Caenorhabditis elegans: one gene and its partner. The protein of the gene in region 1 purifies or fractionates together with the protein of each later gene. This does not show direct contact. Each region holds a gene or a part of one and is shown in the gene's direction. Other genes may lie near its edges.

Evidence for each region.
Region 2: the proteins of R08D7.7 (region 1) and F08F8.7 fractionate together in Caenorhabditis elegans (co-fractionation; one large-scale study listed by BioGRID). This does not show direct contact.

Annotation. Positions count from the first base shown.
Region 1 is NC_003281.10:8,983,771-8,996,823, forward strand, and holds R08D7.7 (putative sugar kinase R08D7.7), read left to right. Parts: upstream 1-8,434; 5' UTR 8,435-8,454; coding exon 8,455-8,496; intron 8,497-8,541; coding exon 8,542-8,630; intron 8,631-8,676; coding exon 8,677-8,905; intron 8,906-9,037; coding exon 9,038-9,232; intron 9,233-9,294; coding exon 9,295-9,396; intron 9,397-9,446; coding exon 9,447-9,536; intron 9,537-9,582; coding exon 9,583-9,664; intron 9,665-9,790; coding exon 9,791-9,947; intron 9,948-10,226; coding exon 10,227-10,437; intron 10,438-10,487; coding exon 10,488-10,710; intron 10,711-10,755; coding exon 10,756-10,904; 3' UTR 10,905-10,976; downstream 10,977-13,053. Other genes in the region: putative amino acid transporter skat-1, read right to left, coding at 11,218-11,358, 11,410-11,995, 12,063-12,329, 12,378-12,562, 12,616-12,706, 12,898-13,010.
Region 2 is NC_003281.10:7,339,521-7,356,712, reverse strand, and holds F08F8.7 (Ribulose-phosphate 3-epimerase), read left to right. Parts: upstream 1-9,563; 5' UTR 9,564-9,570; coding exon 9,571-9,668; intron 9,669-10,067; coding exon 10,068-10,367; intron 10,368-10,419; coding exon 10,420-10,507; intron 10,508-10,556; coding exon 10,557-10,754; 3' UTR 10,755-10,858; downstream 10,859-17,192. Other genes in the region: F08F8.10 (Nuclear transcription factor Y subunit), read left to right, coding at 1-7, 54-671, 1,579-1,805, 2,271-2,330, 2,378-2,457; F08F8.9 (uncharacterized protein), read left to right, coding at 2,760-2,783, 2,922-3,130, 3,177-3,294, 3,857-4,224, 4,605-5,405, 5,989-6,191, 6,774-6,836, 7,211-7,305; gos-28 (Golgi SNAP receptor complex member 1), read left to right, coding at 7,549-7,651, 8,022-8,131, 8,175-8,323, 8,370-8,454, 8,506-8,638, 8,988-9,112; F08F8.6 (uncharacterized protein), read right to left, coding at 10,889-10,933, 10,984-11,250, 11,332-11,394, 11,443-11,492, 11,749-11,841, 11,887-11,986, 12,315-12,515, 12,904-12,942; kap-1 (Kinesin-associated protein), read right to left, coding at 13,140-13,244, 13,575-13,775, 13,823-13,890, 14,277-14,479, 14,526-14,650, 14,737-14,955, 15,306-15,660, 15,791-15,878 and 4 more.

The DNA of each region.
Region 1 (13,053 bases):
ACTTCTTGTCAAGGACCAAGAAAGAGCCAAAGAAAAATGCACAAAATGAGGTGCAGTATCTAAAATCCATTCAGTTTCTTTAAGAGGGAATCACATGCGATATGATGATGACTTGAGGATGAGGCAATGATAAGAGAGATAGTGAGAGTGTCAGACAAAAGAGGTATGTGCGCACGCGATTTTACTTTTTTTCTCATTCCAAATGACCAACTATCAATGGAACCAACGGTTTCTTCGCGAAAGAATCGAGACCGTAAAAAGTGACAGTGTTAGAGGGTGTCATTCCTTGCGCCAGATGATCCTATGACGTGAGGAGGACAAACATAGACTACACGTGGGTAAAACTGTGGATTTATTGAAAGTCAAAGTTTGATAGTTGAAAAGGTGGAAAGATCAGTAGCCTCTGACCTGTTATAAAATATGAAAAGAAAAAGGAGACATCGTCGAAAAGCTCATCGTGACGTGAGCATCGGGCATTGGCGACTCGAATTTCGGAATTTTCTCGCTAAAAATTCAAGTCTCTTACGCATGAATTGAATACGAAACACACGATAGCTACGGAGAACACGATAATTCTTTGATATTTTTAGACTATCGAAACTGAAATTTCAGATCACTGAACTCAGATTTCATAGTTTCAAAAAACTTAATTCACTTCAAAAGTGACAAGTATTATTTTGCAATAGGGCACGACTTATTTTCAAAAACAAAAAGTCTAATTTTTAAAAATAAAACGAGAGACAAGTATTGAGGGCAGCGCGAATAATTTCACATATACACACACTATCACTAAAACGAAATAATCAGCTGATAACACATACACACACAACATGAGAAACCTTTCATTTTTGGATGCTTGTTGCGAATACACTGAATACTCCCTCCGAGAAGACACACAGAAATAAAGTGGTAGAGAAGGGGGGCGGGAACAATCTGGTCAACAAAATGCACTTAGTTTGATGAGAAAATAGAGAAAAAACACACACAGAACAGAAAGAACAGAAAGAAATTGAGAATTTTTTGATTTTAAGATTTGGAAAAATTGAAATATCTCAATTTTAAAGAGAGATCAAAAATTGACGTCACGAAAGGAGCAGAGAAGGAGGGAGAAACTGGGCGTGTACAGGAAAGGCTAGTTTTTTGTTTGTTTTTCATTCTTTTGCCGACTTAGGTTGCTTCTTCTTCTGCTGCTGCACTGTCAAAATACGTCGGAAACGATTGCGAGAGCCGAACAAAGTGACGACGAGAACGAAAAAAGAGTGAAGAAACAACAAGTTCAATGAGGAAATAGAAGAAAACGCAAAAAAAAGAGTGAGAAAATAGAGAAAAAATGGGAAGAAACGTAGGCGGAATGGTGGAGGGTGAAGAGAGAAACACAAATGATGAATAAATGCGTTTTGGCTGGTTGCCAGCTGACGAAGACGCGGGAAATGAGAAAGAGCACGTATGGGACAGGAGGGATGTTAGACGGTTAGAGAAGATGAACAGAGACGCGAAATGAACGGATGAGGTTATCTTTTGAAACATTATCCTCATTTTTTGAAAAAATTTCTAATGAATTGTGAGTTCATGATGATGAAACAGGGGAGTAGTACATTGAAAAATGTGAGATAAAGAAAAAATGGAGGCGCGAGACAAGAGAACGGGAAAGTTCAGTAGACAACACAACGGCAGTTGGTTAAAGTTTGTCTGCGATTACGGTAATTTCAGATTTCATCGACCGAACAGCCGTCCGTTTGTAACTTCAAAGAGAACAAAAGCTCAATATTGTAAATAGAAACAAAATTCTCGGAGAAATCAGGAAAAAACTCATAAAAAAAGATATAAATACTCGAAAAAAAATAATTCGAAAATTCCAGAAACAAAAAGTTGTCGTCTATTATGTGTGTTGTACGCAATGGGCATTGCGGACCTATTTTGGCGGAAATTCAAATTTACAGTTTCCTTGTGAACAATTATTAATAAAATGTAAATTTACATGTTTTTTTTTCAAATATTTCTGGCAAAAACTCAAGAAAATAAAACAATAAATGTTTCTTGAAACCGTCGGCACAATCAGCAATTATTAAATAAATGCATGTTGATAACCATAAATCACTGGGATGGTGTGTTTTTCTTCTCAAATGGTGTCTGGTGTCTATTTTATCTCTATTATTATCAAATATCTTACTTTATTTATTTAGAAATAATGACGAAAAGTTTCTCCGAATACGGTAAATGCGCGTCAAATATCTCGCATTGAGTGTAAAACGATTCGAATTCAGATTTTGAAGAATCGTGTAATATCGAATTCTAATCAAGAAAAAGTCTTTCGAGTAAATGGAAAGCAACGAAAAGCACATGACATTGTGAAATATGGAAAGAGAACTGATAAGTGATGGCGCCAAGAAGACCGGAAGGAAGGTGCGAAAAAAAGAAGAAATTGATGGACGAGGACGACGACTACTTGTTTTTCGAATCGGATGAAGAATCGCTTCTTTTTTTTGACTGACGACAACGTCGACGGTGGTGAGCCGATTAGTGTTTAGAGAGAGAAAAACGAAAAACAGTGAGGAGAAGATGTTCGATTCATCTTCGCTTTTTAAGCATATTATTCGCGTGTTTTTTCTCGTTAATACTACTGACATGTTATTCAAAACAACAAACAATAATACGAATGTTTTCTGAAGTGGTGAGAATAGGCAAATAGATATTCATGAAAATAACAAGAAGATGAAGCAATCGTGCGCTAACGCCAAATAAAAAACTCCGCCCCCAAGTGTTGGGTCTCGTTAGGTATACCGCAATTTCAAATTGTTCTCACTGTTTTCGAAGAATTGTTCTTTATTGAAGTTATTTGTTCAAATTTGTATTTACAAATTGATTACACTGAAATCATTTTTACTGAGCCGACAATACCTAATGAGACCCAAATTATAGAGGCGGAGCGTTACAGTTGGCTTTGGAGCGCAATGTACTTCGATTTCAAAAAATAAACAGTTGTGAAAAGAAGAGCGGAAACCTCGGCCAGAGAACTTTGTCGATTTACGGGGGAAATTTGTTACATATAATGAAATCGTCTTTGATTAACAAAACATTAAGGCTCAAGTATACTCCAATTTAACTTCAGAGAAAAACGAGACGAAAAGAGATCAGAAACTGCATCCGTCGAATGAAACACGGAACTTCAACGTGACAAGAAGAAGAAGAAGAAGTTCTGTAGTAAACCTCACGTCTCCCGTCTTCGAAACGCGCGGTGATGATAAACCGAACGCGTCACTTATCTTATCACATTGTATCAATTTCTCTCTTTCTATCCCCATCTCTCTCTCATCATTCACTCTTTTCATTATTTTCTTCTTTCTTTTTTATTTTGAATTTTTCTCCCATTCATTTTTTATTATCCAATGTCTCCCACGAATAACTTCTTCAATTGTGAGGATTTATTATAGGTGATGAACTAAATGGGGGGAAAAGTGTAATCTGATATCTATTGAACGAGAAATAATATAATAATACGCTATAGAACCAAACCACGTGGCGCCAGATTCACATAGGAAATCAGAAACTAGCCTTTCATCAATTGTTAGAAACTATGATTGTTTTTCAAAAAAAAAAATCTTTGCGCTCAATGACGTACCTCCGAACATGTTGCATTTATAGGTTACATTTGATTGTTTGCACACAGAAGCACAAACTTCATCGCGGAAATTTACATTTTGGTAGAGATGGGCTACAGTAGTATTTTTCTACTCTATGGATTCAGTCTAAGTGTATGTACAGTCCAAAAAATTTCAATTTTGAGATTTTTAAACTTTTTCAGTCAGTTGGTAAATTACCAAATTTCCAAAAAGTTAGACAATTCAAAGATTTTTTTGATCAATCTCCGAAATTATAATAAGTATTTAAAAACTGAGTAATTGTCTCTTAATGACTGTAATTGAAAACAATTAACGAATTATCGTAAATTGATATTTTCAATGACAATAATAAAACGGTCAAAAACAATTTTTTTAAAGCTCTATTCCGTAAAAATAGTGAAATCTCTTCAACATTACAAGATTTTACTACTGAAACTATGGAAGAAAGTGAAAAAAAATTATTTTCATAGAAAAATCACCTGTTAGCCTTGAACTAGCGCTATATTGAACAATTTCCAACTACGTTTGATTTTTGTGACGAATTTCGCACAAATTGTTTTATGCGATCAAGTTCTCACACCGGAAAATAGATTCCAACTTTCTAATAAACAGAGTATGACAAAAATCATAATTTTTTAAATCTTAAGTTGTTCATAAAGCTGCAATAAATTTTTGCAACTTTGCCATTAAAGTTTAAAATTATTTGAAACAATTTTCTAGCGGAGAATACTTAAAGCTTGCCAATGTGGTGAGCTTTTAAAAACTAAGATTCAAAACCACCAAACTTCATAAAAAGTAATAATGTTCGCCAAGGTATGAATTCCAACTTTTTTTCGTTTTCCTAATCCCTTCTTGGTATTTCTAACAGTTCGTCATACCCATTGTGTGCTTACAAGATGAAGCCACACAAGATTTATGTGATTTTTTATTATTATTCCGATAGGATTAGAAGTATTATCTTTTAATGGAAAACTAAAAATAATTAAAGATAAATGCCAGACTATGTCTATTATTAAAAAAACATCGCCAGTTAAGAGGCTTATTTTCTGTGTACTTTCTGAAGTGTTACTAGGGAAAAATGGTAAAACGATCTAGGTATAAGTAGTTTTGAAGTTTTAAAGTTAGCATGATTTTTTTAGCGGGAACATTACGTTATTTTCAGTAGCGTGGAGAGAAAATTGCATTCTCAAAAAAAAAAGAAAATGCGTGGCTGAAAAATAGGTAGACGCAGATAGATTACCGGACGGAGGCATGATGGAAAAATGAGAAATGAATGCAAAAAAAGAAACGAAAAACATACTTAGTGGGCGGGGCAACCGTCGTGGGGGCAGAGAGTAGAAAAAACGGGTGGAAAACGGGGGGCACAAGAGGAATCGATAAACAAGTGAAAAGACAACACGATGCATGATTGAGCCCATTTGTGGTAGACGACACACGGGAGACGGAAACGAAGAAAGGGGACGAAGATGAGCATATAAGAGAGATGGAAAAAAAAAGAGAGGTGAGACGAAAAAAAGATGAAGAGCATCAAGAAATGGAAAGAGCAATAGGAAACGACAAATTAGTATTGGCATCGACTGGTACTTGTCTTGATATAGATATCTTGATTTTAGAAGGGGATCAGGCTCATAATTTTGGAAGTCGATGACCAAAAAAAATATTTTTTTAAAAACAAATATTGCCGAATTTCAAAACTTTTGGCAACTCGGCAATTTGACAATTATCAAGTTCGCAAAAGTTTGATTTTTGAAACAAAAAACTCAAAAACTGAGAAAAAAATGCTAATTTTTGTTGTTGTAAATTTAGAGAATTTTAATTTTTTAATCAGAGAATTGAATTTTTTAATTCGATAATTTGGAAATTGCTGAATTGGAAATTTTTTTAAAATTTAGCACTTTCAGCAATTACCAAAAGGTAAATTTTATTGAAAGATTCTCACCTTTCAAGCATAATATCTGCGTACTAAAAACAAATACAGTTTTTTTTAAATTTTCAAAATATAGCTAGGTTTAAAAATTGCCAAAACTGCCAATTGTTGTAAATAATTGATTTCCCTTGTTCAGATATGCAAAATTATTTTTCAAATATTAAAACTTTTATTATTTTCGGCCATTTTGGACTATTAGTAGTTCTTTTTTTATGGCCTCAGTAGCACTACTGAATTGAAAATTTTAAGACAAAAAGCACATCAGGATTTCATAATTTTATAATTTTGTGTTTGATAGAGCGGGATAGGATATTTGACACGCAACTAGTTTTCTGACATATGACTAGACTCCATTTTAAATTTTGATGAGTTTTGACAGCATCCATATATTTGAAAATTTCGTGAACATTTGTATACGAAACTTTGCTTAGGGAATAGACATTTACTTTCACAATTAAAACAGAAATCAGACGGTATCTTTGGTTACACGTTGATGCCAAAAATAGAAAATGTAGTATGTACGGCATACTTTTCATTAACGAGTGAATGACTTTAAGTCAAGTAATTCTATTACCGTATTTCTTCTATTAATATGGCTGCAATACTATTTTTCGATGGTCTTCCCGCTTGCAATACTAATAGGGAGTGCAAGACTATTAGGGAGTGCAATACTAATTTTCAGAACATTTTTCTGACTTTGAGCTTGCTAGTTTTTTTTTGAAAAAGCTCGAATCTTATGTGAAAATTCAGAAAACTTGATTTTAATTGTAACATATAAGTTCAAAAACATTTAATCTCGTAGAACTGTTGTGAAAAACTGTTGCAAAATAAGCAATAAGTGTTATAAAAATCTTAAAATTACTAAAGAGGGTTTGCACCAAAGAAGTAAACGCAAGACTATTAGGGAGTGCAACACTAATAGGGAGTGCAAGTCTAATAGGGAGGCCATATTAATAGAAGATATACGGTAAAACACGAATTGTGTATACGGCAGAGTCTATGTCTATCGATTCAAGCTATGCGGCTTCAAATGTACGAAATTCGTTTGTAAATCGACATAATCTTATAACTACTTCTGAAATTCCAAAAAAAGTAAATCAAAAGTCTCATCTTCTTTTGATTCTGGAACATATCTTTGGAACTTTGTAAGGAACTTTTCAAAAAAATCTTATATTTAAAGAAAAACTACGCTAAACCTTCCTCTGTACCTTCAAAGCACAATACACCTACCTGCGCCTACGTTCTAATGTTTCTAGGGTGAATTTTTAGCCAAAATTAAAAATACGAAACTTTCAAATGTTCAGCTTCAATAGAAATGCTTACACAAATATTCAGAGAATAGGCGGTTTCTTTAGTGAACATTTTCAAGACTATACTCTCCGTATGCAATACAATTTTCTAAAAATAGTGTGATATTTTCCAATTTGAGTTTCATAATTCATAAATCTGATTTTGTCACTTGTATGTAATAACGAGGGGATGCACTAAAAACGAGCTAAAACTGAGTTTGACAAGGAACAAGGAAGGAGTAGATGGATGTACGTGTGTGGACACAGCTGTCAGACAAAACGAACATTGAGCTACATGGTTAGTGATTGGAAACATTTGAGAGCATGTTGAAAAGACAAAAAACTCGGCAAGTTTCAAAGGTTACATTTGTTTGTTAGGGCGCGGTTGAAAAGAGGAAGTGGAGATGAGTTGCGTCAAGTGTTATGTAGATGATTACTGTAGATTTAGTGGCTCTGCAGGAAAGATTCAGAAAACCAGAGAAATGAGTAAAATGCACGGATATACAGTCTAACTCAAAGTTTTTGGGGAGCTTAGACAAGTTTTTCATAGACTTATAATAATTGTACATTGAAACACAGCCAGGCACACGTGCCTTGAAAATAGTTTTATTTCAAATTTTAAAAAAATGTCAATTTTTTTTTAAAGTTTAACACACAACTCCCAACGAGACTTTTTTGGTTGCAAAGGAGACAAAAGATAAAGTGTACACTACGGAAAGTTCGAAACTCTGTGCTTTCATGGAAACTGTGACAAATTAGGTTTACAATGTAGCCTAGCATTTTTCACAATTTGTGAATTTAAAATGATTTCTGTGATTGGAAAATCCAATAAGCATTCAATTATAATTGATTTTTTTCATAATATGAAGAAGATAAATAGAACAGGCCTAACACTCTCATAAAATTGCAACTAATGGCCAAATTGTTAGTTCGTATCTAATTTTCCACATAGGCGAAAATATGCCTACCTGCCCGCCTACAGAACACGCATGAATCGCATAAAAATTTACTTATTTTTTTCATTACAAATCACCCACTTTTCCGTATAATTTGTTGGCATTTCAATAAACCTATTCGAAAAAAATTACATAAAAATAAGGCATTTCTAAAATCGTGAAAAAAAAGGTTTTTGTGAATTTTCATGTAATTAGGTTATCGTCGCATAACTTTTGAAATCATAACTTGGTGAGAAAATGTTTTTTTCTTTGATCATGTTCTTAATCTCCCAATTCCTCGAATAAAATCTATTTTGAAAGTTCTAAATCTCCTAATCTAAATGTACTTTCCTCTGAAATCTCCTTGAATATGGCTTCAAATATGTAGTTTAACTACACTTTCGCTTTGAATTTCAAAATGGAATCCACAACCATTTTTAAAGAAATCAAACATTTAAGGAAAACGTGCATTCTTATACATATATTATGAATTGAAGCCATTTGCTCATTGAGCATCAATAAAATAATATTTGATCCGATGTATCAAAGTTCAGATGTTCTTCAAAGAGAGACATACGTCACAGTGTTTGTATTGTCTATACGATTTTTGTTTCAATGATACCAAAATTGATACTTGATCTATTTGAAAATCGATTTTTACAGAGTCTAAAGCTTTTGGAACTATGAAAGATGGATTTCTAGGCATTGATCTGAGCACACAACAGGTTTGTTACAACTGCTACTTTTACAGTAAACCTTCAAAATTTCAGATAAAAGCAGTAATAATTGATCAAAATGGAAAAGTAGTTCATACTACAGCAATCAATTTTTCAACTCACGAGAAACTGAAAAAATTTGGGTTTGAAGAATCTGATGGAGATTAAGACTAAATACTAGAATTTCAGAACAGAAAATGGTGTACATAAAAACGGGTCTGTTATCACTTCACCTGTAATCATGTGGATTGAAGCCATTGATATTTTATTCAATGATCTTAGAGAAAATGGATGGACAGATAAACTGAGAGGAATATCAGGATGTGCACAACAACATGGTACTGTATATTGGAAGAATGGAGCAGAGAACAGCCTGAAGGGTCTGGATGAGAGCAGGAGTTTAGCTGAACAATTGGAGGTAAGTATACCTTTAAGTTATTCAATTAAAAATAAGAAATAAAAAATTAACTGTTTTATAAAAAAGTAAATAATGCTAATTATGAATAGTTATATTTTTGTTTTCCTTCTCTCTCCACTCTATTTCTTGCAGATGTGTTTTTCTGTACAAAAAAGCCCGATTTGGATGGATTCAAGCACTGAAAAACAATGCCAGGAACTGGAAACGTTTGTCGGAGGGGATCAAGAAATGGCTAAACTAACTGGAAGTAGAGCTCATCATAGATTCAGTGCAGCTCAGATTAAGAAAATTGTGGACGAGAAACAAGACGTTTGGAAGGATACGGAAGTGAGTTTGTGGCATTTAAGTTATATAGATCAACATTTCAAATTCAATTTTTGAAATTTCAGAAAGTATCCTTGATATCATCATTCTTCGCATCCCTTCTAATTGGAAAATATGCACTAATTGAATTGACTGATGGAAGTGGAATGAACCTTATGAATATTAAGGTTTTTAATTTTTGTTTTCCAAATTTGAAATTTGAAACTTGAAATTTCAGACCGAAAACTGGCACAAACCACTTTTTGATTTTATATCGTCAGATCTTGAATCTAAACTTGGAACACTTGTACATCCAATGACTTCTACTGTAAGTGAAATGTTTATTGAAAAATTCAAAAACAAATATTTTGTAGGGACATGTTCATTCTTATTGGACTCGTAGATTTGGGATTCCATCGGATTGTACAGTTCTACCGTTTCTCGGGGATAATCCTTGTGAGTTGAATTTTCAGTAGATCAGTGCTTTATGCCTACTGTCCGTTAAGCCTAGACCGATATCTATAGACGTTTCAGGCCGATATCTATAGATATAATGAAAAAAGCAATTATCCATAATTTCAGCTTCCCTGGCAGGGTTATCTCTACTTCCAACGGATATAGGAATTTCTCTTGGTACAAGTGACACCGTCTTCTTTTTCACACCAACTTTTGAGCCAAATATTGATGCTCACGTCTTCTCACATTTTGCTCCAAACAGTGGTTATATGGCAATGGTTTGGTAAGTTCAAATTATAGGTTATAGATTTTTTTTGAATCCTGGAATTATTAAGATCACTGAAAAAATCAATGTAGTGCAAAACTCAGATGGTCTCGGCATTTGGAGGCAACTTTCTGCCACACGTTAGCAACTTGACAACTTATTTAGTGCCACTAAAATAAGTTGCCAAATTGATGGCAGAAAGTTGCCTCCGAATGCCGAGGTTATTCCACTTCGCCCGAGTAAAATATCTCGGACTGTTCCCTAACCAGTTTTTTTAAAAAATATACATAATTACAGTTTCAAAAACGGCTCACTAACCCGAGAAAGAGCTCGTAACCTGAACAATAGTTCGTGGGACAAATGGGATAAAATAATGAAGAAAACTCCAGCTGGAAATGATAATTATATTGGTTTTTTCTTCGATGAAGATGAGATTGTACCCAGAAAACCAAAAGGAGATTATACTTTTGAGTGTTCTGAGGAAGAATTGAAAAATAAACATCCAGAGGTTTATCTTTTTCATTTATAGTTCTTAAAGAATTTCAAACTTTTTTTCAGAAATTTGCGCGAGCAGTATTTGAAAGTCAATGTCTTTTTAAACTTCTTTACACTCAAAAAATGGGATTTAAGAAATCCGATTGTAGTCGAATTTTGGTAACTGGAGGAGCATCTCGTAATACAGTTTTATTACAAATTTTGTCTGATGTCTTTGAAATGCCAGTCTGCACAATTGATGTTGATGGTTCAGCAGCTCTTGGTGGAGCTATGAGATCTAGATATGGTAAGTTGAAAGTAATATTTAATATATTCCAATCTAAAATTTCAGTACACTCTAAAACTACGAAAACATATTCCCAATATTATCCATGTGACAATGTATCACTTGCCTGCCAACCTATTTCTGCCAACGTGGAAGTCTACAGTAACCTATTCAAGACGTTCAAAAGTCGTTTCGACGAGTTCATCAAACAATAGACATTTTCATGGAATTCAACAGGAAATAAAATATACTAATATAATTATAAATGCAATAAAAAATAACTAACCAGTTCGTTGGGGGGACAAAGTGACTAGTGTATGTTGGGTGCGGGGGAGGGAAAATGAGAAAATGGGAAAAGTTCGAAATGTACATAAAATAAAACATGGAAAAATGAGAAAAAGCGAGAAGAAAACTATGTACCGGTGTTAGGATAGAATTCGAGGTGATGGAATGATCGAAAAAAGTGAGAAAATGTTGAAAAGTGTGACAACCGGGATGAATGGTATGAAAACTGATATGTCAACAGATTTAAGGATCCGGTTGAGAGAATGATTGGATAATTGCATGAATATTTGTGTAGACTCCGGCGATAATGGCAAATACTCCAATAGCCATGACGACGAGGTTGATGAAGATCTTTGTCATACGTTGACGATATGTCAGAAGTCCCTGGAATTTTTTTTTAATTTAGTAAGATTTTTAAATTGTATTCATATTTACCTTCCAATCGGTCCAGAAGGTGATCATTTCGAAGAATGGTGGGAAAATTAAAGCACACAGGGCACCACTTGTAACTCCGACTAATGGAATCATGATTTCAAGTTTTGGAATCAAAACTGCCATAAGATACGTGACAAGCACCCAGAAGACACGGAATCCTTTATCTGACAGCCACTTTGGAACATTTGGGAATCGGGCACCGAATTTCCGACGGAATCCATTGAAGAACATATCGTAGACGACGTACATTGCAATGGAATTACCAAGAAGAGATTGAAGCATAAGGAATACATTTACTGTTGAATAAAGACCTTCTTTTGGTACATTCGTTGTGATTGTTGGAGCAATAGAATCTCCAAATCCAGTGTATCCGAAAAATCCGAGAGCTGTCATGAATGCAGTACAAATGATCATAGTTGTCGACAGAACTCCGAATGGGGCGAGGAAAGCGGCCGGGTTATCAAGTTTATTCTCAATCGGTAGAATCATAGTTTGACCTTCAAATGCGTACATGCTCATTCCAATCATAGTAATTGTCCCGGTGAAGTTCGTAGCGGCGGGTAGTTTGTCCCACTGATTTGGCTGTCTGAAAAGTTTTTGATCAGTTATCTAACTTCGAAATTGAAAATAAATGTATCAAATTCAACACTTACTGAACAGTGTACTGCATAATAACCGCTGCTCCAATAACAAAGAATACTGAAGAGACGAGAGCAAAGAATGAGACTATACGCATTTCAGTGAACATATTGGTGAGAAGAATGAAAAACAGCGATACTGTAGCCATAAGAATCATTTGTTGGTGCCGCGTTCCTCCGAGATGATCGCCAACGAGATTTACCAAGTTATCAGAAATGAAAAGAATCGCGACACTGCACATTCCCAACTGGTAGAACAAAATAGTCACATTGACAAAATACCTGAAAAATATTGGGTTTTTCAACTGTATAGAAATTAGAAACCCCTACATGACTGCTTTGCTGTTGTTCCTCAAAAATCGAATATCACTATAGTCACAAACTTTCTTCGCAAAATGACCGTAATCCAGAGCACTTCTGTCGGATTTTTTAGCAAGATGCTGGCTCGCCCTCACGAGAATGTGATTTCCGTACCAGTTAAGACCAGCAATAACGAAAGACATTACGAATGAGACCTAAAGTATTTAATGTTTTAATGATAGAAGTCAATTTTTTTAAGATTCTATACCCAAAGACCTCCAAGTTTCCAAGCATACGGGAGGGAGAAACATCCGGCATTGAACATGGATTTGGAAAGTGTAAGAACAGCTCTGGTGGGTCTGAAAAATAACGAATAATATGCATGTGAACGAATTTTGGAATTTTTTGCAAATAATACGGTAGCTGGTCTCGACACGAAAAAAAGAATTTCGAATTTATTTTTTTTTGGAAAACGGAAAAAAATTATGCATTTTCCTCTTACTTTTTTCCCGAAAAAGAGCGAAAATCTGCAGCCATGGTCTAAACTCACGTAATAACATCTCCACTTCTAGCTGGCGGTTGTACCAAAGCCCTACCATCATTCATGGATTCAGCATCTCCTTCGACGGTAACCGCCCTCTCACGACCTTCTTCCTCACTCATAAAGGTCTGAAAATAAATATATATTAAACATACTTATTTAAAA
Region 2 (17,192 bases), 1.6 Mb from region 1:
ACGACAGGTAAAATCGAAAAAGTAATAACTACAAACGTTTTTTTTAATTCCAGGATGAACGACAACAAGGCGCGGAAAAAAGCAGCCAAGCTCATTTCGTATCCTGGGTACACCGGATCAACGTTAAATACGTCTAATGTATATCAAACATACCCAGAGAACGACTATTCGTTCTTTCCTGCTCCAGCGCCTTCCTCTTTGTCATCCTTCAATCCATTTGGACAAACTAGCCCATCTTCAGCTCTAACTACTGCATTTGGAATTCCACCGCCAACTACATATTCATCTCATCAACAGAGTTCTACTTATTCTCCAATTGTTCAAAGCATTTCAAGTCAACCAACCGCTGGATTTACAAATCCTTACAGTCAGCTAGCCTCGAACTTCAGTACAAGTTCATTCGATTCTTCGGCTCCAGTTTCTCCAGTTCCGACACAAGTTGCACTGGAAGTTTCTGAGCAAGAACTTTCTAGACAAAAAAGACTTATGGAGATTGAAGAAGAGCTAAAGGCGATCAATGGAAGAAAATTGCAAATTCAAATGGAAGCTGAAATCAAACAAGCAGAAGCTGAACTGGCTCAGAAACAACAAATGATGGAAATTCGTGAAAGAGAGCTCAGGGATAGAGAGTATTTCGAGATTGGGCGTAGATCACAATTAGAACAGAATAGGTATATTTTTTAATTTGAAATTGTTATTATTTTCAAAGTTTATTATTTCTTTTTTTAATTTCAAATATGCCGTATAACAGACGATGTTACCTAAAGTTGCTTGTCAACTGATCTAACCCGATGTGGTTAGATTTCCAAACTTTGAAACAGTTTGATGCAGATACCGCAATTACTAATTGTCAGTTATCTATGATACATTATACAGTGAAGATCTGTTAATGAACTTACTTGTCGGTACCTTCTCGACGACAACTTATCATTGATAAGAAAGATTGGAAGAATTTTTAAGAAACTGTATATTTACAATTTCCTATAAAAATATCTGTTCCATTCCAAGGCAACAAGCAAGATGTTAAATAGACATGGCCTGATGCTGCCAGAAATTCCTGATCGCAGATTCTGCCATATTTATGTGAATATTCATATGTATATCATGTATAACAAAGAAAGTAACCAGTTTGTACCTGTGTATACCTTCTTGGAAAACAGGCGGTATTTCTGATAATCAACTTGTTTAATCGGAAGTTTTGGAATTTAATTTTAATAACTCCCTACATAAATGTTTTACGAAGTAGTGCATATGCTGAGTCATTTTGCAGTAAATTCATATTTCTGCTGAGAAACTCACACATGCTCAGCTTCTCAAATTATACAACAATTCAGAACTTTCTCTAAAACTGAGGTTTGAGAAAAAATTCATGATATGTTATCGAGTAGCCTATTCCCGAATTACTATATTCATGATGCATCATGTGCTAAATTGCTTCTCACGGAGTTCAAGCATGAAAGTCGAAATTTGAATTGTTCAATATGTTCTTATGAATGAATTTGAATGCCTACTGAAACATGTAGTCGAAAACTTCATCATTTATAAAGAGACCATATTTTAAAGTGAGAAAATTTCCAGCTATGCTTCTCAATACTGTGGCCGTTCAGACTACAGTAATCATCACTCCTCCTATCACGATTCTCATCATCCACAGGATGACTTTTATTATCAAGATGGCCGTCCGATGAAAGCTAATAAAAATCCGAACTCGTTCGGTTCTCGGCGCCGTGGAAGACATCACTCAGGGCAAAATTTCGATGTAGATGAACATGAGTATTATGACGATGATCATGGAGCACGCGAAGGTACAGAACATATACCACACTAAATATTTTGAAAGAATATGATTATAGTAAAGTGTAAATTTAGAAAAAAAAACAGTACCCAAGTTAGATTCGTGTGTTTAACCGAATCTTCTAATTGGTACTATTATTCTGTAGAGCCTGCCAATATTTGAGCTTTTGTTTCTCAGTGGAGATACAATTATCTCGTGATGCTAATGTTTCGGCTTGGTTTTGATTATTCAATCATACCATTAAGACCACAGGAGCAATAACTATATTATGTGGTGTACTGTAGAAGAAACAATTCACCATTGCACATTTGAATTCAACTTTGGAAATTTTATTTCGAGGTGTGATTTTCTTGTGAGTAAAATTGTAACTACAAAATTTTTCATATCTGAATTTTTGCAGTTGATCATTTTCAATATTCAAATTACTATTTATTGAAACGTACTCCCTTTTCCTGATAAGTTGGATGTTTTCCAGGTTCATCCTCTTGGAATCGGCCGGTTGACTCCCATCATTATCAAGGAAAAATTAAGCCCGGTAATAAGACATAACTTTGGTTTGTTGCAAGCAAGTTTCATTTTCAGCATTCCCAAAAAAGAGTCGCGGTGGGAATAAGAAGTATCCTAAAAATCAATATCAACACGGAGGAATGGAATATGACTAGAAGGAATGTAGTGGCGATTTCCATTTGTAAATGTTTTAATACTAGTGTTATAAATGTTATGCTTTGTTCAACTAATGAATAAATTATAATTTTTCCCTTCTTTTCCCTGTAAACTTGTAGACGTTGAAAAATCGTCTTTATTATATATTTTTTTAACTGTTCCCTTCTAAACTTTGCCACGTTAAAGTGGTGCGTCGTGACGTCATAGTGTTTGCGGGCGGTGTCGTAAAGTCTGTTGCACAGCTGTACTTACTACAGAAAACGCTTTAATTTCACAATTTCAGCTGAATATTCTTCCCAAAATGTCATCGGAATGGGATAATAAGGTAATTTTTCTGTTTACTCACAACTTGCGATAACTTTTAAATTATAAATTGTTTTTAATACCAAAAAATCATTAAACTTTTTTTGAAAATGTTAGACAAAAAATAGAAAATGAATAATCGATATAAAATGTTTTCCAGATAATCCCAGTTATCGGAGTTCCACTTGAAGCACGCAAACTCCCATCTGCGCGAATTCCCAAGAAACCCAAGGAGACCGATGGAAATTCAACTGAAACTGTGGTCAACTCTACTGAGAAGCCTGAAGAAAGGAAGGAAAAACCTCCGAAACCACCAAAGCAAAAACAGAAACAAAAACAAAATCTAAACAACAAGTTTTTGAAAAATTTGTGAGAAAGTCTTTAATTTTTTCATTTTTTATTTTGTTTTTCTCAGAATCACCGATACTGGTAAACCGGCAAGTATGAACGGGCTTTTTGTGGCAGAAGAGGAGGCTAAACTCACTTTACTGGAGAAAAAGGCAATGAAGATCCATATTGAAGAGAATACATTGGTAAGTTTTTTTTTGATTTACTACTTTAAAGTAAAATTAAAAATTCGCTTTAAATGGCAGAATATGGACCTTAATTATCTAATATAACTGTTAAAAAGTTCTATTATTCAAAAAAATTCAATTTTTCAAAATTCAAAAAAATTAGTTGAATGTTTTGAGATTTTCGCGTTTTCTGGCTATATTTATCGATTTTTCTCCATTTTTCTGTAATATTTGACTCAAAACACAGTTTGCCAATTTTTCAAACATTTTTATAATAGAAAAATTATAGCTTTTTTAATGGCAATTTTGAAGTTTTAGCGAAGTTTTATAGTTATTAAGGTTTCTTTACGGAAAGACTTCTGAAAAATAGACGAACTATGTCGCAAATCAAGAGATTAAGATAAACGGAAAAAAACCTTTTTAATATAGACTGAAAGCGCAAAAATATTAAAAACTTGCACAAAAAAAAAGACTAAACATTTTGGTATATTTCATAATTTTTTAAACAGTTTTATTCGATCATTGCTATCCATTTTAAGCCAAATTTGAAAACTCTACCTTAAAATAAACGTTTCTACAGAGTGATCCCCAGTTTCCGACTTATACAACGAAGCATCAAGGCAGAATAAAGTTCAAATGCAGATTGCTATGGCTTCTCAACAAGGAAACATTTATGAAAAGAGCTAATAAACCTCATCTCGCCAATATTGTGGTAAAACAAGCACACATGGAAGCTGTTCCGCCGAAACAGAATGTTAATCAAAAGAAACAGATGAAAAATCAGGAAAAAAACAAAAACGCCAAACCACTGATGGATATCAAATTTGATGAAAAAGCCAGATCATTCAAGCAAAGAACGGGAGAAGATTACAATGGTGGTTTTGATATTTCGTCGAACTATCAAGGTTCGGAAGGATCCGGAGGATATCAACATATCGGAAATACTTGGTAAGTCGTGATTAAAAAACTTTACAAGTTCGGACAACAGGGCTGGGGAAAAAATTACAAAAAAATTTTAGGTGTTGATCTTGGACCAAAAAAATACGAAAATCAAAACATTTAAATTGGTTTAAAAAAACCAAAAAGAAGTAGAGTCTATTAAAGATTTATAGATTTCGAGAAGACTATTAAAAAACCACATTTTTCTTTTTTTAAAAAATTGCAAATTATGAAAAGTGTTTAATGTACTTACTGAAAGTGTTTTTTTGGGATTTTTGTGTCAAAAATTAAAAATTTATCAGCCCTGTTGACAATCGAGCGATTAAAATAAAGAAAGCAATTTTTGAATAAAAAATTATTAATTACAAAATTTCAAAGTATAATTTCAGGCCTAACACCGAGAGTCAATGGAATTACGATCCTTCAACAAATGGATATTCGACTTTCCTTGCATCAACTCCAGACACTTCTACGACTTATCAGCCATATCAACCATCAGAATATGCCAATTTTTCTCGTCAATTGGAATCTTCGTCGAGTTCTGTTCCTGTATATGGTGGAGCTACGGATCCAACACAAACATCAACATCTTCTGTCATTTCGTTTGGTGTTGCAGTGCACGAACCAATATCTGAATCCTCGGCATCTGCTTATGATGATCCAACAAGAAACCATTGGAACCCACAATCTGCCACGAGTGACTATTCAACCGTTCCAACTTCTGGAACTTCCAATGTTTTCCCATCGTACCAGACATCAGAATATTCTTCTTTTCCAAATCAAACTCCATCTTCTTCTTCTTCATATCAACAGTCTTCACAATATACTCCGATGGTTCCAGATTTGATAAATCAAGCAATTAATGGTTACACAACTCCACAATATAATCAACCGAATCAGCAAGTAAATCAAGATTTCAACACGAATCAATTTTCCGCTTCTCTTGCTTCTCTCCATTCACAACCTTTGGAAGCTTCCGAAGATGAACTTTTGAGACAAAAAAGACTTATGGAAATTGAGCAAGAGCTTCATATGATCAACGCGAAGAAAATGCATATGCAAATGGAAGCTGAAATTCGGCATCGAGAAATGGAATTGGCAAAGAGGCAGCAATTGATGGAGCTGAGGGAAAGAGAGCTCAGAGATAGAGAATGTTTCGAGAATGGTAGAACTCATGCGGGTCATACAGGGTACGTTTTTGAAATAATTGAACAAGTCCTTTTTTAATACTATCCCATATTCCTGTTTTTTTTCATATTTTTCTGCCTTCTCTTTTGAAGGATAAGTTGATATGAGAGATTCCACTAAATTCCCAATATATTCGTCTAATTTTTTTGAGATGTAACAATCAATTGATTTTTCTTTGATTATTTAATTGAAATTAACCTTCGATTACGATCACAGTTTTCAACTTTTCATTGTTTCTTTCGAATTCAGAAACATCGGACAGTGACCTCTAGTTCTGAAGTAACTGAATTCGTTCTGGCTAATCATTGAAAGACTCTGAACGAAAATATTTGAAAATGGGAAAATTGTGGCTCAGAATGTTATAATCGATCGTTTGAGATTTCTAATCGCCATCTGTAAAGCTCTGAGATACTCGTTTAGAATTACATCAAGCTTAGGCTTTGTGAAACATTTTGTGTCCATTCACAAAAAAGTTTGAGGAAATATATTTTGTTTTCTACTTTTATTCCCCCTATTCAACCCCCCCCCCCCCCATATCTTGTAGAATTTCAGATTAACTGATATTCTATTATCCCCTCTTTTCAGCCAGCACAACTATGATAATCGAGAATACAGTTCCCATCACGAATCTAAAAATCCATCTGTTGGCGGCAACTATTCTTCGACTTCGCGGTCGATAAGCATCAACGAGGATCCCGCTGCTTCTCACTATTATGGACAACGAGTCGAAAGAAAGAAGAGACTGGGAGGAGAATTAGCGAGACGACAGGGAAGAGTCTACGAAGAAGGTACAGACAAACGATTTCACATGATGACGCGTTTTCTTTCTTGGATTTTCGATTTTTCTCTCTTTCATAATGTTTTTTGGTTATTTTTGCAGTCAGTATTCAAATCGTAACAGAGGGTTTTTCCAAAAATTACGATTAGAACTTCTGACGCTAATAATCTTCAAATTTGACTATTTCTACTCCCCATCATTGGACTTCCACGTAGGCGTCAAAATGCCTGCCTCGCGCCTCAAACCGGTGCCTTCTGCTAAAATACACATGAATTTAATTTTTTCATTTCTCAATTTGATTCACATTAAATTGATTGAAATTACAAAATATAAATTCGTAAAGTAATGTCAGAATGCAGAAAGAGGCGAGAGGCTGGAAGGTTTCAGGCAGGCACCTAGACCTTCAAACCACGCATGCCTACCTACCAAGATGTATAATACCTGTTCGATAATTTAACGATTTTTGAAGCATAAAATCAAAATTTGTTGGTTTTAATTACTGGGCTGAATATACTCATTCCTGATTCAAATAATTCCCAGCTGATTCCCCAAATCTTCTTATTTCAAATATCCTCATACTTTCTATTTTCAGTTTCAAGCCCAGGCCCATTGAAGCGATCGGCTGATCAAAGTAGAGCAGGAAGTATTCAACCAGGTAATCAAACAAAAAACTTTTTTCAATCATAACCTATAGGTCTATAGTTGCAAAAAAATCGAGTTTTGATGCAAAGTTACAGTACCCGGTCTCACGCCTTTCAAGAGTACAGTAGTTCGCCACCCCCAGTTATTTAATACTTTATCTGCCTTTTCATTGACATTGCTCTTAAAATTTCTTTGAAAACAAATATTAAATAAAATAATTTTTAAAAGTATTTGATGTGATCACATCAAAGAAACGAGATAAATAGCAAGGAAAATTCGCAACTACAGTAATCCATAAAAGTTCATAAATGTTTCTGTCGCGCCATGACCGGATCCAGTAATTTCTTATCAAAAATGGCAAAGTGGTAATACACATATTTTTTTCAGCTGAAGGTCCCAGCAGGAAACAACGTCGTCGTAACAACAAAAACGTTCAAGTAACGGTCAATATGGAAGATATCAGTGATGACGAAGAAGTTTGATTCACAATTGGCTGGAAAACTTTGTTTTGTTCGAAATCAATTCAATCGTAGAATCGTTATTGGAAAATCTCGTTCTTTTTTAATTCAATTTAAGTTTTTGAATGAAGTTTTACTCATAACTTCCGTTTAATTTTATTTGTTGTTAATTTTCTAATCGTCAAAATATCGATGAATATATTTATTTCTCATAGTAGTGACCAACATTTCAGTCACTCGAAAAAACAATACTTTCAGGAACACAGAATGTCAGAAACTTGGGAAGCGTTGCGGAAGAAAGCCCGAAGCACAGAAAATTCCATCGATGTCAAGCTCGTCTCCCTGAATAAATTAACGGCTAGCTCTCATGGTAAGTATTACCAAGAATTTTACGATTTTATCCTCAGAAAATACGATACCGGGTCTTGACACGAAACATTTTCATAAAATACAAAAAAGTGTGCGCCTTTGAAGAGTACTGCACTTTCTGAATTGTGTTGATGCGGAAGTTTCAAAAAAAATATATGTATTTATTTGAAAAACCCAAATATTATATATTCTGAAAAAAAAACTTTAAAAAAGAAAAAGAAACTAATGAAAAAACCAAAAAGGGCATTTATAAAGAACATTTTCGTGTCGAGACCGGGTACAGTATTTTTGGCGTTTGAATAACCAACTTTCGAACATGTCTCTCAGAAAAATATTTAATAAACATGTTTCCTATTGAAAAAATATTTCAGGCGGTTTTGACATCGACGAGAAAACAGTTTCCTCAAGACAAACGAGCTTCAAAACAGTGACAACAGAAATCGAAGGATTGATAGAGCAATTGACAAATATCAATGATGATGTTAGTTTATTTTCAATTTTGTTTTTAAATTCGTCAACTTCAGATGAATGACGTAGCTGGTGCTCAATCCTCGGCATCTTGGGCTAATAATCCAGCCATTCAACACACACTTCGACGACATCGAGAAATTCTTCGAGATTACGGTAGTGAGTATCGACGTGCAAGAGATAATGTTGATCAGGTATTACAGAGGTATGAAAAATACTTTTTTTAAATTAAACAATACGATATTATTCAGAGAACTCTTGTTGAGCAGTTCAAATGAAAATCGTAATAATCCTATACTGAACAACAGGGCTCGTGGATATGATATGTATTTGAAGGTATTTTTGGGAAGAATTTCAAGAAAGTAGTACTAATTAATTTAATTTCAGGAGAATGACCATATAAACGCTTGTGATCGATTGTTAGATGAACAGTTAGAAATGGCAATGTCAACGAAAGAGAATATGGCCAGACAGGGAATTAATCTACGTGGAATATCAACTCGGCTTCATCATATTTCAAGTAATTTATCTTTAAAAGGGAAACAATTAAAGTAAATCTAAGTATTTATGAACATTTCTGATAAAAATGTTCCTGAAACACCCGATCTTTTTTGAAATCGTCAATCTAGATTAATTTAGACCTAATAAACTTGAGTTCAAATTTCTTGCAATACAGTTTTTTGACAAAAAATCTTTAAAAAAAAACAACAAAAAATTTATTTGAAATTTGGACCGAAAAACAAAAGTTAGAATTTCTCCAAAAAGCCGAAAAAATTTCAAAAAAAAATTCCTCCTTTCAACTGAGACTCAACATTTTTGAAAAACAGTTTTACAAGCTGCATAATAATTATCAAAACAACTTTTTTTAGAAAAATATCCTGCAATTAACAATTTGATGCAAAAAATCAAAACGAAAAAGCAGAAGAACACACTGATCCTTGCTGCCGTCATCTCATCGTGCCTTATTTTTACAATTTTCTGGATTATCAATTAATCAGTTTCAAATATCAAAAAAAAACTCAAAAACTTTTTCGAACTCCGATTTTCGTATTTTTCGAAGAAATTTAACAATCGGCAGTCGTAACTTTTTATCAAGTTTTCGAGTTGTTATTACTTTGTGTCAATGAAAAATAGAAACTGAATGATAAGAATAATCGATTTTTGTACTATTCCCTTGTCCCTTCATACAACGCACACCACTTTCATTGTGATATTCCTCACCGTTTTTCTAATTTTTACTTGTAAATAATTTTCTCGTTTTGTAATCTTTCGAGTATAATGGAGTTCTTGGCTTTTTCGTTTTTTTCTCGATGTGAAACAATTGGGTATACATATTTATGAATTAAAGTATTATTTAAAGATTTTTTTGAAAGTTTACAGTTGAAAGTTTAATTCTATAACTTTATTTGTTCATTGATTCTGGATGATAAAATTTATTTATCTAGAATTCAGATGACCCTCCGTCCATTTGTGTGTCCATCAATTCTGAATGCCGATCTTGCATCATTGGCTTCTGAATGCAAGAAACTTTTAGCAGCTGGAGCAGATTGGTAAGGTGATCTTTAGAAATTCTGAATAGTTTTGACAACTACTTTCATATTTAAATGTCCCTTTAGATTTCAAAAATCTAAATGGGAACGCACAAAAACCTCTTCTGAAATCAACATGGAAACGTACTCCACGGCCAATTGGAAACGCTCCGACCCCCCGAGATTACGGTCTCGTTAGGTATTTGGCCACAAAATCGCAAATTGAAATTGTTTTCATCTTCAAACACAAATTGGCAGGACTAATTGAAAACGCTTAAACTATCAATGTCAATACCTAATGAGACCCATGGTTCGAGGGGCGGAGCGTTTTCATTTAGCAGTAAGTAAGTAACGTTTCCACTTGGATTTTCAAAGGATTTACTTTCTGCGTTCCCATAGTATCCAGCTCCCAACTTGCAGGCTTCACCTCGACGTGATGGACGGTCACTTTGTACCAAACCTCACATTCGGTCACCCTGTCGTTGAATCTCTTCGTAAATCTCTTGGTGCTGAACCATTCTTCGATGTTCATTTGATGGTCTCTAATCCTGGACAGTGGGTTGAACCGATGGCAAAAGCTGGTGCCAGCCAGTTCACATTCCATTATGAGGCTGTAGATGGTGATGTGGCAGTCAGTGAATTGATCGAAAAAATCAGAAAAAGTGGAATGAAAGTGGGATTATCGGTCAAACCGGGAACTTCTGTTGAGCATATTTTGAAGTAAAATCAAAATTATATTTCAATCTAGATTTTAAATTAAAAAACTTTTTAGACATGCTAATCATTTGGATAATGCTCTTATCATGACTGTGGAACCAGGATTTGGAGGACAAAAGTTCATGGAAAACATGATGGAAAAGGTATTTATTTTGGTTTTTATTTGATACGAATAAAATTTATGGCTTTCAGGTTCGCACAATCCGTTCAAAATATCCAAATCTGACTATTCAAGTTGACGGAGGAGTAACACCTGAAAATATTGAAATCTCTGCTCAAGCTGGAGCCAATGCGATCGTGAGTGGAACTGGAATCATCAAAGCTGCAGATCAATCTGTCGCCATGACAACAATCAGAAATGCAGTTGAAGCTGCTATTTCGAAGTGCTGATTTTCTTAATTACTTGAATATTGTTTTGAATTTTGAAGCTCATTTTTTCAGAGCTTTTTGAGGTTGTGATGTTAATAGTTAGTAAATGATTGTCAATTAAAAAATTCAAAGCAGCATTTATTTATCTATAAAGTTCAGATGGGCTCTGCAGTTCCTAGCTTCGGGGTCGGAGCAGGTGTCTGAAAAAAGAGCATTACAAAACATCATGGACCATTCTTCAGTTGCTTACATTTTTAACACTTTCCTTCTCCTTGCTCGGAGTCTTCTTATCCTGATTTGATGGCAATACTCCAGTACTTCCAATTGTATCTTTACTCGGAGTCTTTCGTGGTTCGATATTTCCTGCCTCTTGGCTCATTGCAGTATTCAACGACGGCTCCTTGCTTCTTCCTCCAGCATTTGCAGTCTTTGTAGATTGCTTCGGAGTCAACATGATCTCACGAGACGGCTGCTTACGATTCGGAATTGGAGGAGGAGAACGTGGCAATGTCTTTTTCTGAAAAATTGGTTGTACTTTTGCTCAAGATCTTGGAGTACTACAAAAGCTAAAAAATATTTCGAAAAATAAAAAACGAACCAGATCAGTCTCACTCTCCTTTGGTGTCTTCTGTAAGCTGAGCATGGCCGATTTTGGAGCAGGCTGAAAATTGATTGAAATGAATGAAAACACTCGAGTGAACATACAAACCTCTTCAATAGTTCCAAGTGTCATAGTCTTCGATTTACGAGTATCTTCATCTGAAAATTGATTTCGATTATTTGCAAGAAATAGACAGACACTTCACCAGTCCCTTTCCTTCTGCCTACCTAATACTTACTTCACACCTGCCTGCGTACGTGTCCACCTCATCCCTACATCTTACGGCTTTGCCGACTTGCACAACCCCCCTCAATACCTACTCCCTGTCTATCTGACCACCAGGGCAACCAAGTTGCTGGTTGCCGAAAATTGGAGCGTATGGCAACTAAACAATAACCGAGTTCTGATTCTTACCTCCCATCGTGTCATAAACACGTTCAATATCAGATGGTGGAAATGTGACATCTTCTGGATATCGATTATCTTTTTTTCCTGGTTTTGTTTCCTCTGAAATAATGAATTTTGGAGAGACAGATACAGAGAAAGACATACGTTTTTGTCCATTTGTCGAGTAGTTCACATTGACAGAACCCAAATGATTAGGATGACAGATTTGTTTGCAGATTTCGATTGGAAGGAGAATTTGCAACGCCTGAAACTAGTAAAATTAAATAACTTTTTATGAAAACTTTTCTATCATAATTTGGGGCATTGACCAAAACCAATTTTTTCTAAAAATAACCTTATCGAATGTTTATTTTTGTATCGGAACATTATAGAAGTTCGAAACTACAGTTTATTCGTTAGTTTTTCATCATTTGACTTGAGAGTCGTGATAGTACTTCAGAGACTCTTCGGATATCTACAGTAACCTACAAGTGTATTGTATGTGTGAATATAATGTTTTGTAGAAGTATCCAAAAGAGAGGTGTTCAATTCACAACTATCGAAAAGGGCAATTTCTGAAGAGTTGAACTTGCCTCGTCAATCAAATCGATGATTGCATTATCCAAATCCTGTATCGTACTCCATAGTTGAAATGCGTTGAAAACCGAGTAAATGGTACTCAACAACGCGATGAAGCAAAGTGCAGAAGCTACAATCCATAATCCAAGTGCCAGTTTATTATAATGAAAATATTCACACTGGTGTTGCTTGAGTAAGTTATCGATCGTTGTTGTCTGAAAATCCGATTAACATGAGAACTGCTAATGAGGTTCCCAGCCACGATGCAACTAGATTCCACTTCAAATTAAACGTGTCAAGTATTAAGAAACCATCGGTGCATGAGAATGTCTACTTTCTGGCGCGAAAATGGCGGCAGGAGAGATTCTTCGGATATCTAGAGTAATCTAATTGTAAGAACATGCGGCGATGAGAATTTAGGTACCTTCGCTACGAGATATTCCCGCGCCAAAACGGTAGGCATTCTCATGATCTCATGGTCTCTTAATAATTTCTCTTATTTTCTTCTGTGGCATTTTTGAGTCCTAGACTCTTTCAAGTACTATATGTGTCCCCATTCACTCCACCTTTAAGATTCACAAGATTGAAAGTTTCACAACTTACCGAAATTATTGCAGTTGTAACATTTGAAGAATTGTTCATTTTTGAATAAAATGAAGCAGTCACTTCGAGGAATGAAACACTAAATGTGAAACACTACATGGCCAGAGAAAATTTGACCTTTCAAAAGATAAATATTTATACGTGAATTTTGTTTTAATTTTTTGCATATAAATCAAAACATTCATTTATTAAGTAAAAATATATAATTTGTAGGTTAAAAAAACAACAAACAAAAGTTAAAAAAGGGGCTCATTCATATCAAATCCATCATCATAGTGATCAAATTTGAGATCAGCTCCAAAATCTTCATCATCGTAATCTACGAATTCGCTGTCGTCTCGCTGGAAAAACGATTTTTAACCGGTGACTTTAGAGCCTATATTAATGTAATGTAACTCAAGCTGCATTACTGCTATCCTGTTTCTACCGTAACACTCACCGTAAACTACTAAATAGATTCATTTAAAGTAATGATGTTTTTGATACATATTTTTAACGGGATAGTCAGAGTGTCTTCGTTTTTGAAAGTATTTTTATACAGAAATAAAACTAGGAAATGCTAGTGACGTTAAATTTCCAAAACCTTGTATAGTATATTTGTATAGTGACCAGTATCATAATATTATTTGTACCAATCAACGAATAAATTGTTAAAATAACTACGATCATACCTCAACCATCTCCAACCATTGTGCATTGTGCCATTTGAATCTCTCTCCAGCTATCCGTTTTGCCCATTCTTTTGAATGTTCACCCATTATCAAAAGGGCATTATCGCAAACTTCTCGAACCACTGCGTTTGCATCGTGCATCAAATCGATCATATGGGCTCCGAGAGCTGAATCTTGAGTCATCAGGCGAGCAGATAGTTCCTTTGAAAAATTTATATGAGAGTTGAAAAAACTCTAAAACGTTATACCTTGTGCTTTAAAAATTGCAAGAAAACGTAGAGAAGTTGCACAACAAACTCATCATCAATTTGGCATGCTGAAAAAAAGATTGCGATATTTTTCAGTAATTTATTTGTATTCTCGATACACCCAAAAAAGATCAAAATGACACCAGTAAAACACTTCAAAAACGTTAGATTTTAAAAAAGATTTAGCTGAAGATTTGTTAATTTGCCAATTACTTCCAAAAATATGTACTTTTTGAGTAATTTTGAACATTTTTACATGTTCGATTTCCTAGAATGTTCAAATACAATTGAAACACAACTAGTTTCAATAATTTCCATTTTGTAATTTACCAACTGGCAAAGCTCCACCTTTAAATCTGATTGTGAGGAAAAATGAACTTTTATGTTTTCAAAAGTTACTGGGGTTTTATTATGAAACAAACTCTTAAAAAATAACTTAAATTTATGAACGTACATTGTAATAACTGCACAAATGTATCAATCAAAGGAGCCAATAACCTAGCTGCATCCAATTGCCTAGCCATTGTTCCACAAGCAATTACAATTTGTAGTTGGAGAGGTTTTATGTCTCGAAGTACTGTCACTTCTTCGGATTCATCAATTCCTTCTTGAAGTTGAGTTTTCATCCAAGGAACAAGATTTTCAGATTGAATTATTCTATAATTTAAGTTTTTGATTGGAATTCCGAACTCAAAAAGCTCACTTTGCCCACGGAGCAACTTTGAGCTCAGCAACTGTACCCATGCATTCTAAACCAAATGAAGATTTTGACTCTGAGTTGTCTGCTCCTTCATTTTTTGCAATCCCGATAAGAGTTTCAATCCACTTCTGAAAATTCTAAATTTAAATAACAACGTTCATTTTTTTTCGTTATCTATTTTCACCGTTCAATAATAATTCAGTTCTCAACTTACCAAAAACATATTCTGCGTCGCACCTTCGTGACTTGAAATCGCTCGAACAACCTTTATGAGCATTAGATCTCTCGAGTTGATAGACATTTCCATAAGAAGATCTAATCCTTGACCACGTTGTCCACATACCAACTGAGCATTTCGTTTTTCGAGGCAAATATTCAACAGGACTGCTTTTGTCACTTCACTTCCTGTTCCACTTAGCACATCTTTCATTAGCTGGAAAAATGTTTTTTTATGAATCATATCCTCGTAGCAAACGTTGGAAAAATCGGTGACTATTTGCTATGTGGCGTTATATTTAGGTTTAACAAAACATAGACCCGAGGTAAGTAGATTTTGTCTGAATTGCTATTTCAATAATGTTCAAACAATTTCAAAAAAAACAATTGATTCACAAATAAAGTAGCTCAAACGACAACCACTATTCGAATGCAAACTTGAAAATAATATCAAAAAATTTGAAAAGTTTTAGTATAGGATTGGTTTTTAACAATTTTCCACTTGCGTTTTTCCATCTTTAATGTATAGTAACTTTTCGACTATCTCCTTTGATTGACCCAACTCACCAATTTAATAGCATCGGTGTATGCTAACATTGCTTTTGCATCATCATTACAACTTAATAAATACATCATATTCAATGCCTTCGTGTCACTGTCCAATAGAGATGCCATATGTGGTACAAGACCTCCATTCACCATTTTTGGTAGATTTTTGGAGTCAAATGAAAAATTGAAAAGAAGCATTATAACTGCTTTTCGCAGTTCTGGATCTTGAATTGGAAATAGTTTCAAAAGTTTTTCGATTGTTCCATTTTGTTCCATTACAATCTTATTTTCATCAAAAATACTTAATTTAAGAAGAAACTTGATAGTTGCAGTTGTTAGTGAACTTGTAGATTCTGATGACATTTGGAGGCATCTAGAAATGTAAAATGAGTGAATGTGGTGTTAATTATTAAAGGTGGAGAGATTAAAAAAAACTGTGAAAAGTGTTACTATGATATTTCAGCATTTTACAATTTCCTCACTAACTGCGCCTTTAAACTCACTTGACAAGAAGTGCCACCAAATTTCTTCGGACCATTTTCAATTCGACACTGATATCCGTGGCTAGATTGGTAAGAAAAGTGACACATGCTGGAATTGAACCATTTTCAATGTAATATGTACAATTGCAACAAACCTGCCAATAGCATCGCCTGTTTTCGAATGGCTGTTTTTAGTTTTCTCAATGTCTCTTGATCCGTCTTTTTCATCTCAGCAATCCAAAAATCGTACCGTTTTGTTTCATGTTCCATTGCATTTACACATAAAGTACCAATCTGCAAATCTAGCTTTTAAACGAAATTCAGGTGAAGTGAAGGCGTTTAGAAACCATGCATGCCTTGTGATGAAGCAGAATTCCGTGTAAACATGAAAACTTGGAAATATTCACAAAAAGGTTCATAATATTGGTTCCAACTTCAAAGTGTTTCTTCCAGTCTTCTCGGAATACTCTTGCCAGTGCCATCATAAGAGTTTCTGAAATGTAGTGTTATTTGAACGTTAACTTTAATACATAGATTACGTCCGAAAATTATGGTCATCGGGTAAGCTTTTCTAGAATTACCTACCATTGTTCACAAGCTGTGTGAGGTTTTGAGGATTTTTTGAAAGTTCATAAAGTGCCACGGCTCCTTTGTTTTTCTCAACAGAAGTTTCACCGTAGAAGCATTCTATGTACTCCTGAAAGATACATTTTTAATTTCAAAAGTAGTTTTTCAAGTTCTATTTGGTTTTAGGCTCTCACCATAATAAGAAATCTGTTTTTATATAAATGTTGAATGATGTATAGAAAACCATTCAAAGATTATTTTAAACTAATCAGATTATTTTCGAAATAAATTTTTAGATTCTAAAATATTGGTACTACCGGATACAAAAGCACTCAAGCGAGCTTGGTTTTGTTTCAGCTGCTCCATTTTAGAACATGTAACAATTAATGTTTTCAATTTTGATATAGCCTATGCGTATTTGTAAAATAAAACCAAATGCTCCTCAACTTTACGTAATCTACAAAATGTTTTCTTATAAAACGTACATCTATTTTCCCTAATTCTGCACTAATTGTAGGACTATGAATAGGCCTTCGATCAAATGAAACGGCCGAAGAACTTCTTGATCTCGCACTTATTCGTTGATTTCCTCTTTTTTGAATGTAGAACAAAACCTGCTCCAATTGACTTCGTGACGTGGCAGGAATGAAAAGACATTTTTGAAGAATAACATTTGATAAAGCACGAATATCTACATCCAGACTCATTTCTTTCAAGTGGATTCTGTAATACAATTTGGGTAATTTTGTAGCCGTACAATGTTAGATGCAGGTGACATTTTGAGGTTCTCATATATATATATATTCGATTATTATTTTTTATCAGTTATTTTCCAATATTCTAAAAATTAAAGAGG